Linked DNA regions of Xenopus tropicalis. The protein of the gene in region 1 purifies or fractionates together with the protein of each later gene. This does not show direct contact. Links are inferred from orthologs where the notes say so. Each region holds a gene or a part of one and is shown on either strand. Other genes may lie near its edges.

Region 1 (5,293 bases):
ATTTCAGAGTGGTTACAACCTAATCAGTAAAATATCAAAAAAATGCATGCGCCAACATTAACAGTATAAAACCTTTTTTCGGCATATGTATTCCTATTTGATTTTAAAAAAGGTTATCTAGTTAACAGTTTACCATAGTTTACCTGTAGTTTAAAGTTATGGCATTATAAGGAATTGCATTATATTGAATCTGATATACAGGTAATGGATATTAGAAGTGCTTCATCTGATATATTACATTGGCGGCAGAATGTCAGTGTGCTGAAAATGTTCAGGGGTTTTCCCTATTTCCATTAGGAAGAAGATGAGGTGGCTGCTAAGGCAAAGGAGGAAGCTTCAGAAAAACGAGTTCAGCATATTCAGTCTGCTTTCACACAGTTAGAAACCAGGTAAGAAATGAATTATAATCAACTTTCTTTCACCCATACTGCTCATAGATACAATGTATGAACAAATCTCAAAACTATATTGACATACTGCAATGTAACAGTGCCATATTTCTTTAGTATACTTGGGAAAGCAGAAGTGCAAATTGTACTGGGGCATTGTATGCTTACAAAGACTTTGGTTTGGTGTTTATGGCATGGAATCATAAAGAGAGAGTAGCCCTTGCTATATGCACATTATTTTCTTTAGGTTGCAAAAATACTATTTCCATAGTTTTAGTCAAAGAATCCTCTGAATTATAGACTCCAAGCAAATAAACTGGCAAGTATCAGGCAACAGTACTCAAATACAAGTGAAACGACAGATAACTACAATGACAAGGCAATCTTTTTTCTGTAGGAAGTGCAACTTGCTTCTGTAAGCCTAGTATACAGTAGATCAGGAAGATCAAGATAACCGCTAGCAATATAACTTATTATCTTAGAGATCTGTTTTATTGTAGTAAGAATAAATGCATGATTTGTATTGCTTTTGCTGTATAATACAATAAAGCATATATGCATTTTATTTAAGGCTAAAAGTAGCTGTCCAAGATGTAGAAAAATTTAAAGATGAACGAATTGCACTCGAAAAGCACATTGGGGAATTACAAGCAAAATGTGCAGAAGTTGAAGAAGAGAAATATGATGCTGTTTCCAGAGTCCGTGACAGTATGCAAATATTAGAAGAAGCTAACCTACAAAAGGACCAGGTATAGAAAATTATATATTATTATATATATTATATATGTAATATATACACATACACACATGATATTCTTTCTTTAGAATATTACACAGTGCATATGTGTATGAAGTTTCTATTTGATATTTGAAGGCTCTGCTAAGAGAAAAGCAAAAGGAAGAGGAGATTGAAAATATGAAAGAAGGCATGAATAAAATAATTCAAGAAGCTGCGGCAAGAACGCGGAAAGAGGTAAGACATTTCAAGGTTATCCTAATCCTTTTTGTATTTCATATTTCAATGTATTTTTACCAATTTATATAAATAAGGCAGCACTGAAACCATAATTATTGGATTAGCTGAATAATGAACCCTCCACAAAAGATTTGGACAAATAATAAACGGACATGTGATCCCTGTTTCACATAGAAAATTATAAACTGTAGAAAAATTAAGTAATCTGTAAGCAAAAATATCACATTTAGGTGTATAGATATACAATGTAAAAAGGCACATGACGTTGGTTAGAGGTTTGTAAAATGTCATTAGCATTGTACTATTTGTTTGTTCGGGGGCTCACAGTCCTTCCCACTACAGATAAAAAAAACTGATTTATATTTCAATTAGCGCTCTGGCTCACCCAGTTAAATAGTAGGTTCGGGTGCTTATGCCCCGAACCTTTCGCTTATCACTTTTTTCTCTCTTCGTTCTGGGGAATTTATGCTATTCTGTAAATTCAAAATGCAGGATGTTCACTCACTGCTTCCTTTTGGTGGCCTGGGTGCCATGCTCCAGACCTGCAGCATGGGGAGATTCAACTTCAATAGCCAGCACAAAACAGCATGCACTCGTCGGACTCCAGGACAGCGGATAAAAATTCAAAAAAGCTTTATTAAGGATAAAAACCTAATGTTTTTCGTGTGACTGCACACCTATTCATAGGTACCAATGAATACGTGTGCAGTCACAGGAAACATGTTAGGTTTTTATCCTTAATAAAGCTTTTTTGAATTTTTATCCGCTGTCTTGGAGTCCGACGAGTGCATGCTATTTTGTGCTGGCTATTGTCATAAGCATTAACCAACAATCCTTGCAACAAATGGGGCTTGACTAAGCAGAGAATCGTAGTTTACCAAAATGTTTCTGGCCAGAGTCTTAGAAAAATGTATAATTTGTCTACCCAATAACTCTATCTAAGGAACTTAATGTCACATCCTGTGCTAGCATGGGCTTAACATTCTGGGCAGGAATGTTTCAAATCTGTGCAGCCTGCAATCTGAAAAGGTTTTCAATAAAAAGGTAAAGGCAAGTAATGTATTTTTTAACATAGTTTCAAAGAAATGCTAAGGATTTGTTTAAATGGGTCATGGGGCTCAGACAGATGTTCGGTAACAGATCAGGCAAAGATCAGTCAATGGATACAGTGCTCTTCTGAACATGCAGTGCCCCCCATGTCATTTGATCAACAGCTCAGGGGCCAAATGATCAAGTCAGCAAAATTTGGTGCAGCACTTGGGAGTTAAAATCAGGCAATGGTCCACTTATTGGTGACTTCTTTCAAATAACTGATATGAATGATCAGTTATTTTAAAGATTACACACACAATATTTCCTTTTTAAAGACCACTGTAACCTAGGATCAACAAAAGCAATTAAGTCTTACATTGAACCTATGGTTTTACCTATTGTTTTTGTCAGATATTTTAATGTGTCATATCAGTCAGTCCAAAAACAATTCAGTCTATTTCCCCTTCAGTTTTGTACATCAGTGTCCCTCAAGAAGAAAAATCAAATATTCCTGAAGGGATTTTTGCTTCCGTTAATGTTGTTTTAAATCTGCTTGCAGGTATGCCTTACCTATTAAGTGCAATTTTATTGTTTCTTTGCCTAAGGCATGAATTGCACATTTTTTTCTATTTCTAGGACATAGGTAGAGTATAATAGGATGGAGCAGTTTGCACATTTTTGAGCGGAGCAAAGTATAAAGACAAATTTGGCTTCATATTCAATTTTGACAATCTAAAGAAACTGAGCTCTGTTATAAGAACAAAACAGCATACAGGCCACGCACAAATACCTATATGATAGCACTTAGAGGCATATTTGCTAAAACTCTTAACTTTTCTCATTTTCTTTTAGAAATTCAAATAAACTCATTTCCACTAATGTCTGACATTTACTTAACAGTCAGAAATGAAATAGTCTGTGTGGGAAAAGTCGCCTAAAAAAAAGCACAAAGCTGCAAAATGTTTGAAATTGTCACTCCAAAACCTCTACAGCGTCTAAAATCCAAAGCCTCTAAAGTTTTGTAGCAAAGAAGGATTCTCCAGGGAAGGGAGGGGACATCTGCCATTGATTTCTGCACAAAATTGGCAAGTTAGCCGACTAATTTTTACGGATTACGGATGACGGATTGCGATTTTTAGCCATTTTGTTGCATAGTAAATCTCAAAAAAGTTGCAATATTCTTGGTGCAACTGTTAGCTCTAAAAATCCAAATAAAGAAAAACAACTTAGTAAATGCCCCCCTAAATGTTCATAATCATACATTTCATTTTCAGAAAACAAGCCTTACAAATATCTTTAGTAATCAGGGAAATTACTGGAACAATAGAAAAACAAGAATGAATACATCCCCACAGTGTTACAACACTTATAATGATATAAGTGCACTATAAAAATGGTTGCATTGATTACCTGAGTTAGCTAGAACACTACTGAGCTGTATCTCTAGGGAGGAGAGAAACATGCACTTGAGTGAACTCCCCCTAGGGATTAATTAAGTATTAACTACATAACACAGGGAAGTAAAACTCTACCCCACTAGGATACCTCAGGCTTCTGCTATAAGAAGAGGCCTGTATTTATAGACTTAGTGCTTTTATGATAATCAGTTCTTTTTAATTTGTATAATAAAACTTTTTTTTTTTTAAACTATCATTATTCATAACCACCATTGCTATTTATGCTTAGTTCCAGCTTGCACAATATTTCTAAAAGCTTGCTTTAGATTATATTTAATTTTTTTTATTTTAAACCTAATTGTTTCACTGTTCCATTTGTGCTCAAGTGTACAACTAACAATGGTTCCTGGTTTTGGATATGCTGATTAATACAGTTTTAGGGGAAAATGGCTGAATGCCACATGCAAACCAATTCCTGTTCTCTTTATCATGATGGACTGTAGATGTGGCACCTAGCTATAAGACGTGTACATTATTTAGATACATATCTGTATATCACATACTGGATACTTGCAAATATACCTATAATACAAATACAAATAATTTTTTAAAGAAATAGTTCAATGTAAAAATGAAAATAGATAGACTGCACAAAAAAAATAAATGTTTTTAATATAGTTAGTTGGCCAAAAATGTAATCCATAAAGGCTGACATAATAGCCAACATAATATGTCTAACATAATAGCCAGAACAATACTTCCTCTTTGACAGCTCTCTAAGCTGTTAGCAGTCAGTAACCATTCAGTGACTTGAGGGGGGCCATATGGGACATAACTGTTCAGTTAATTTGCTTTTGAATCTGACTTGCGTGCTGACAAACTAACTGAATAATTTTGTCCCCTGTGGTCATGGACTAGCTAAAAGGTTAGAGAGCTGAAAGCAGGAAGTAGAGGTCTGGCCATTATGTTATCTGCTCACTCCAGCCTCTTTATAGATTACATTTTTGCCTAACTACCTATATTAGAAATATCTTTTTATTTTGCACAGTCTTTCTGTTTTACCCAGTTTCATTTTTACACTGAACTGTTCCTTTAATATCCCTGTGGCCAACTATGCATCCAGAACCGCTGGTTTAGTAGCACAGACAGAGCCTTCTAATTCAGAGCCATATATCCAAACATGCATGCAGCCTACTTTGATCTCTCTTGCTGTTCTCCAAGTCCTACCCCCTCTGAAGCATGTTCTAATATCTTGCACTGGATGAGATCAAAACAGGCAATTTGTAAGTTTGGATATGTGGCTCTGAATTATTAGGTTGTATCTGTGCTATTAAACCAGCTGTCTGGATTCATAGTTGGCCACAGGGACAATTCCATAATTAAGTGAGGGGTGAAGCCTATCATTTTTGGGTTTGCTCCTTACAGGCCATGTCACCATAAGTACATTTGAAGTACAAACATTAGGACCTCTGTGCATGTTTGATATTCAGGTTTTGACT
Region 2 (5,293 bases), on another chromosome or scaffold:
TAAACCCAATAGGATTGTTTTGCCTCCAATAAGGATTAATTATATCTTAGCTAGGATCAAGTACAGGTATGGGATCCATTATCCAGAATGCTCAGGACCTGGGATTTTCCAGATAAGGGGTCTTTCAGTAATTTAGATCTCCTACTTTATGTTTGCTAAAAAAAATTATTTAAACAGTAATTAAACCAACTAGGATTGTTTTGGCTCCAATAAGGATTCATTATATCTTAGTTGGGATCAAGTACAAGGTACTGTTTTATAATCACAGAATGTAAATTTTTTTATTAAAATGGAGTCTATGGGAGATGGCCTTTCTGTAATTCGGAACTTTCTGGATAATGGGTTTCCGAATAAGGGATCCGATACCTGCACAGGTACTTTTTTATTATTACAGTTAAAAAGGAAATCATTTTAAAAAAACTGAACTATTTGATTAACATGGGGTCTATGGGAGATGGCCTTCCTGTAATTCTGAGCTTTCTGGATAATGGGTTTCCAGATAATGGATCCCATACCTGCATTTAAACAAAAAAAAGCAATAATATATGTAAATAATTATTAACAGTTTCTTATTTAGAGAACAAATCATTACAAAGTCTAATATCTACAAAGCTAAACTATAAACAAAGAGGTCAGATAAAACATATCAAATTAGTGGATACTTGTCATAAATTGAGAAACAATAAAAGATGCAGAAAGGTATGGGAAAATGGGGCAGAGTGAATCACTGAACAGGTATCATAGGGGAACAGAGAACTCACACCACAGAGAATGTATCAGACAGTGAAAGCCAAATGATGAAAATGTGAAGTGTATAACCACTGGAAGGTATGGATGCAGCTAGAAAAAGCAGGAATCTGAAGTGGTGTTGTTTACTGGTGCTTACAACCTACTTCAAGTAAAATGGAAGACTGACACCAACAATCATTATTAAGTAAAGTTCTAACCTGGCAACTGTTTTGTCCATCATTTAACATGATCAGGGAGGTAAAACATTCAGGTAGAATATTTTCATTCAAAACATGATGCTTATTTAGGAATGCAACATGATCAAGCAGTCTTTCCTGCAGTAATCTTGACACTGACCTGTTCGACAAAAATAGAACACATCTAGTTAATACAGCTAAAAAATGTATGTTTTTGGATTAGGCAGCTATGAAGGCGGAGAGGGTGGTAAAAAAGGACAAAAGCTTGCTCAACAATATAACAGAACTGTGGAGTCTAAAGCATTTTTGGCAAAAATGTACCCACTTTGACCCCTAATAAATTCAAATTGTAATACAATATGTTACAATATCCTTTTCACAGATAAAAGTCATAATTAAGTACTTCTCTTCTGTAAGGATACAGCCCAGTGTGTAGTTGTTTTACTAGTCTGAAGTTTAGCTGAAGTCCAACTGTTATAACCTTAACCTTTGTCTTTAGTTTTAAGGAATGTTTGTAGTTTCATTAATAAATAAAATAAAAAGCCACAATGACATAGGCTTAGTTATAGATTTAGACTCAAACTTGAACAGTATCCTCATTCATGTTGACAATGACAGACTTAAATGGCCAATAGGGTAGTGCATCAGCTTCTTAGCCAGTAGCTCTTTGGTTTGTTCACAAAACAGACACCGTTAGTGCTTAAAACGTCTGATCTTTTTCAATAAATACTTTATCTTTTTGCAAAGTCCCTGTGTGTGCGGCTCTCACTGTGTGTACTGGAGTTCAGTTGGAGGGGTTGAACTTAATGGACTTTGATGGAGTTAAGTCTACTCTATGTAGATAAAGCATACCCCCCAACTGTCCTGCTTTGGGCGGGACAGTCCCGCTTTTTATAGTGCATCCCGCTGTCCCGGATCGTTCCATGAATGTCCCGCATTTCTGTAACATTCATGGAACGATCCGCGATAGCAGGATGCACCTGCTGAAGCTGAGCGCTCCTACTCCATGCGCGGCTTCTCTCCTTATGTGGCGGCTTCTCCGGCGGTGCCAGGCCCTTTTATAAGGTTGCGCCCCGTGCGTACTGACGTCACGCGGCGCAACCTTATAAAAGGGTCTGGCACCGCCGCACATGGAGCCGCATAAGGAGAGGAAGCGAAGAAGCAGTAGGAGCATGTATTGGGGGGGAGCTCTGTGTATTGGGGGGGGGGCTCTGTGTATTGGGGGAGCTCTGTGTATGAAGGGTACTGTGTATGGGGGGGCTCTGTGTATTGGGGGAGCTCTGTGTATGAAGGGTACTGTGTATGGGGGGCTCTGTGTATTGGGGGGAGCTCTGTGTATGAAGGGTACTGTGTATGGGGGGGCTCTGTGTATTGGGGGCACTGTGTATTGGGGGCACTGTGTATTGGGGGGCACTGTGTATTGGGGGCACTGTGTATTGGTCCTGTGTATGAAGGGCACTGTGTATTGGGGGGCGCTGTATGAAGGGTACTGTGTATTGGGGGGGCGCTGTGTATTGGGGGGCACTGTATGAAGGGTACTGTGTATTGGGGGGCACAGTGTATTGGGGGCACTGTGTATTGGTACTGTGTATGAAGGGCACTGTATGGGGGGCTCTGTGTATGGGTGGTACTGTGTATTGGGGGGCACTGTGTATTGGGGGCACTGTGTATTGGGGCACTGTGTATTGGGGGGCACTCTGTATTGGTACTGTGTATGAAGGGCACTGTGTATTGGGGGGCGCTGTATGAAGGGTACTGTGTATTGGGGGGCACTGTATGAAGGGTACTGTGTATTGGGGGGCACTGTGTATTGGGGGGCGCTGTATGAAGGGTACTGTGTATTGGGGGGCACTTTGTATGAAGGGCACTGTGTATGAAGGGTACTGTGTATTGGGGGGCACTTTGTATGAAGGGCACTGAGTATGAAGGGTACTGTGAATGGGGGGGCACTGTGTAAGAAGGGCACTGTGTATTGCGGTACTGTGTATGGGGGGTACTGTCTATTGGGCCATTGGGGGCACTGTGTATGGGGGGCAAATCTGGTACATAGTTATAACTCACTTTTTATATGTAGGAGTTGCTATATTGTTTTCCTTAGATAATACAGTATGAGGGTATAGCACATTTGCATCTGATCTCATTATTTAAACTATATACTTGGGAGTATTTTTAGAAAAAAATGGGGTGTGTTAATTGGGGCGTGGCCACAAAGGTGGGCGTGGTCAAAAAATTTCTTTTTGTCCCTCTTTTCATTTTTCAAATGTTGGGAGGTATGGATAAAGTTCTAGGGCTGTTTCTGTAAGTTGAAGCGGTGAAAACTGGGATCGGAACATGTGCTGCCACTGCAGGTAGCAAAACAAAATTCTAGGGGGGAGCTGGTATTCTAGCCTTAAATCCTGAAACGTCTTACAGTCCCCATTCAAAGTTAAATCTGCTAATGTTTTCACCCCACCAGCTGTCAAGTACTGATTTCTGATACCAGACTAAAGTGGGGAAGAAACTTGTTTTCCCACAGGGGAGTACTTTTAGACCATTCCAGGTGGTTTTCATGTGCCATTTTTCGAGCTTTCTGGAAATTTTCTACTACTGTCTCTATATGGGTTGTAGTGTTTTAAATGCAAAGTTGTTTCCCAATAGGGTAGTTTGGCCAAGGCCTCAAGTGAGCCTTTTACCACAGCCACAATTACCGCTGCCTGGCTGACCAGTTTAGGCATTATTTACCAGTGGGCAAGTAGCCACTATATTGATATATAATCTTCATGCAATTCCATATATGAAGGTTCGGCAGCATCATCAATATGGAAACGTGAAAGATGCGCAGTGATCCAACAAAAACATGTTAATAAATGAATTATCACTAATGCACAGAGCTATAGAATCAGGTGCAATGAGTTTTAACCAAAATTAACTTTTGCCAAATTAAGGTTGTGGGCCTGACCATAGCTCTCTACTTGCAATGCAGCAGCAGCAATAAAATGGGTAAAGATACCTCTCTTTACTTGCTTCTGTACTGTGAGTGTCAGTAGTTCCTTCATGTAAGTATCCAGCCAATGTGCTCTTCAGCAGTTCCTGGACCTTGCACAGTACAAGTGCACAGCAGGCCTCAAGATCTTTAACCGTCAACTCTCTCATCTGGTTGCAAACACTGTAATACATATTAAAGGTATTCATCACCAAGAAGCTTATACGTGTCTAGGCAAAGGGTCTTTAAGGGGCAATATACTCCCTTTTCAACATGGTTTCATAAATAGGGCTTGTGATGAACATATATTTTGCCTGTTGTTTTAATTATGTTTTTTTAATGTTTTTTTGTTATTTCTTAAACTAAATAGGGCAAATGTGGAAACAGAAGCTACTTCATGTTCAATGTGGATAATTAAATTATCATAGTTTATATTATTCCCCTGCATAATGGACTTGTAAACTGGTATCTCCCACCCAAGGACCAAACACAGAGTAGGTACAGATTCAGTTTGCTCTGTTTAACTTAAGAAATAACAAAAATCATATTTTGTTTGTAATTAGAACAATAGGAAAGTGTATATTCATCGCAAGCCCTATTCAAGCCCTATTCATTGCCCCTTATAAAGGGGGTTTACTGCTGATAAATTGAACCACCTAATAATTTAAGCAAGTGCAAAATATTAGTGAAACAAAGGGATGCTCAAGGTACTTCTCATGGGAGCTTGTGATTAATTATTATTTTTAACACATATGTATAATGAATTCTAACTCAGCAAGGCAAACAGCGTGGCAGGTTCCAAAATATTTTCTTATAAACTTGAAAAAAATTATGTACAAAAGTAACTGGTGACGCATAATTAAAACCTTCACTGTACCCCTCAGACCCCTTATCCAGAAACCAGTTATCCAGAAAGGCCATCTCCCATAGACTCCATTTTATTCAAATAATTCACATTTTTAAAAATGGTTTGCTTAATCTCTGTAATAAAACAGTATCTTGTACTTGATCCCAACTAAGATATCATTTATCCCTATTCAAACCAAAACATTGGATTTAATTACCATTTAATACATTTTTTTTTTAGCAGATTTAAGGTAGGAGATCTGAATTACGGAAAGACCCCTTATCCGGAAAACCCCAGGTCCCAAGCATTCTGGATAACGTCCCAGGTCCCATACCTGTAAATCTTTTAAAGAACCGATTTTTAACACTGATCAGGCAGTACACTACTACTTTTGCAAGTGAATTTGCTGTCCTGTCCTACAATCACAAATATGCATAGAAGGCTGCAAGAAGTGCGAATAGAAGCATAATGATTGTGCTGCAGTCACTGCTATAGCTACAAACCACTGCCCTAAAATTATTTGTCATATGTGTGTCACATCATGAAGAGTCCAGAGTC

The links. The genes of interacting proteins can lie anywhere in the genome.
Region 2: the proteins of sclt1 (region 1) and kiz purify together in Homo sapiens (co-immunoprecipitation; 3 studies listed by BioGRID and IntAct, counting the BioPlex papers as one, with this or other methods). This does not show direct contact. The link is inferred for Xenopus tropicalis from reciprocal best matches to the Homo sapiens genes SCLT1 and KIZ.

The regions. Positions count from the first base shown.
Region 1 is NC_030677.2:64,010,392-64,015,684, forward strand, and holds part of sclt1 (sodium channel and clathrin linker 1), read left to right. Parts: intron 1-297; coding exon 298-389; intron 390-960; coding exon 961-1,138; intron 1,139-1,263; coding exon 1,264-1,362; intron 1,363-5,293. UniProt on the Homo sapiens protein: Adapter protein that links SCN10A to clathrin. Regulates SCN10A channel activity, possibly by promoting channel internalization.
Region 2 is NC_030681.2:36,357,059-36,362,351, forward strand, and holds part of kiz (centrosomal protein kizuna), read right to left. Parts: intron 4,072-5,293; coding exon 3,916-4,071; intron 1,087-3,915; coding exon 948-1,086; intron 1-947. UniProt on the Homo sapiens protein: Centrosomal protein required for establishing a robust mitotic centrosome architecture that can endure the forces that converge on the centrosomes during spindle formation. Required for stabilizing the expanded pericentriolar material around the centriole.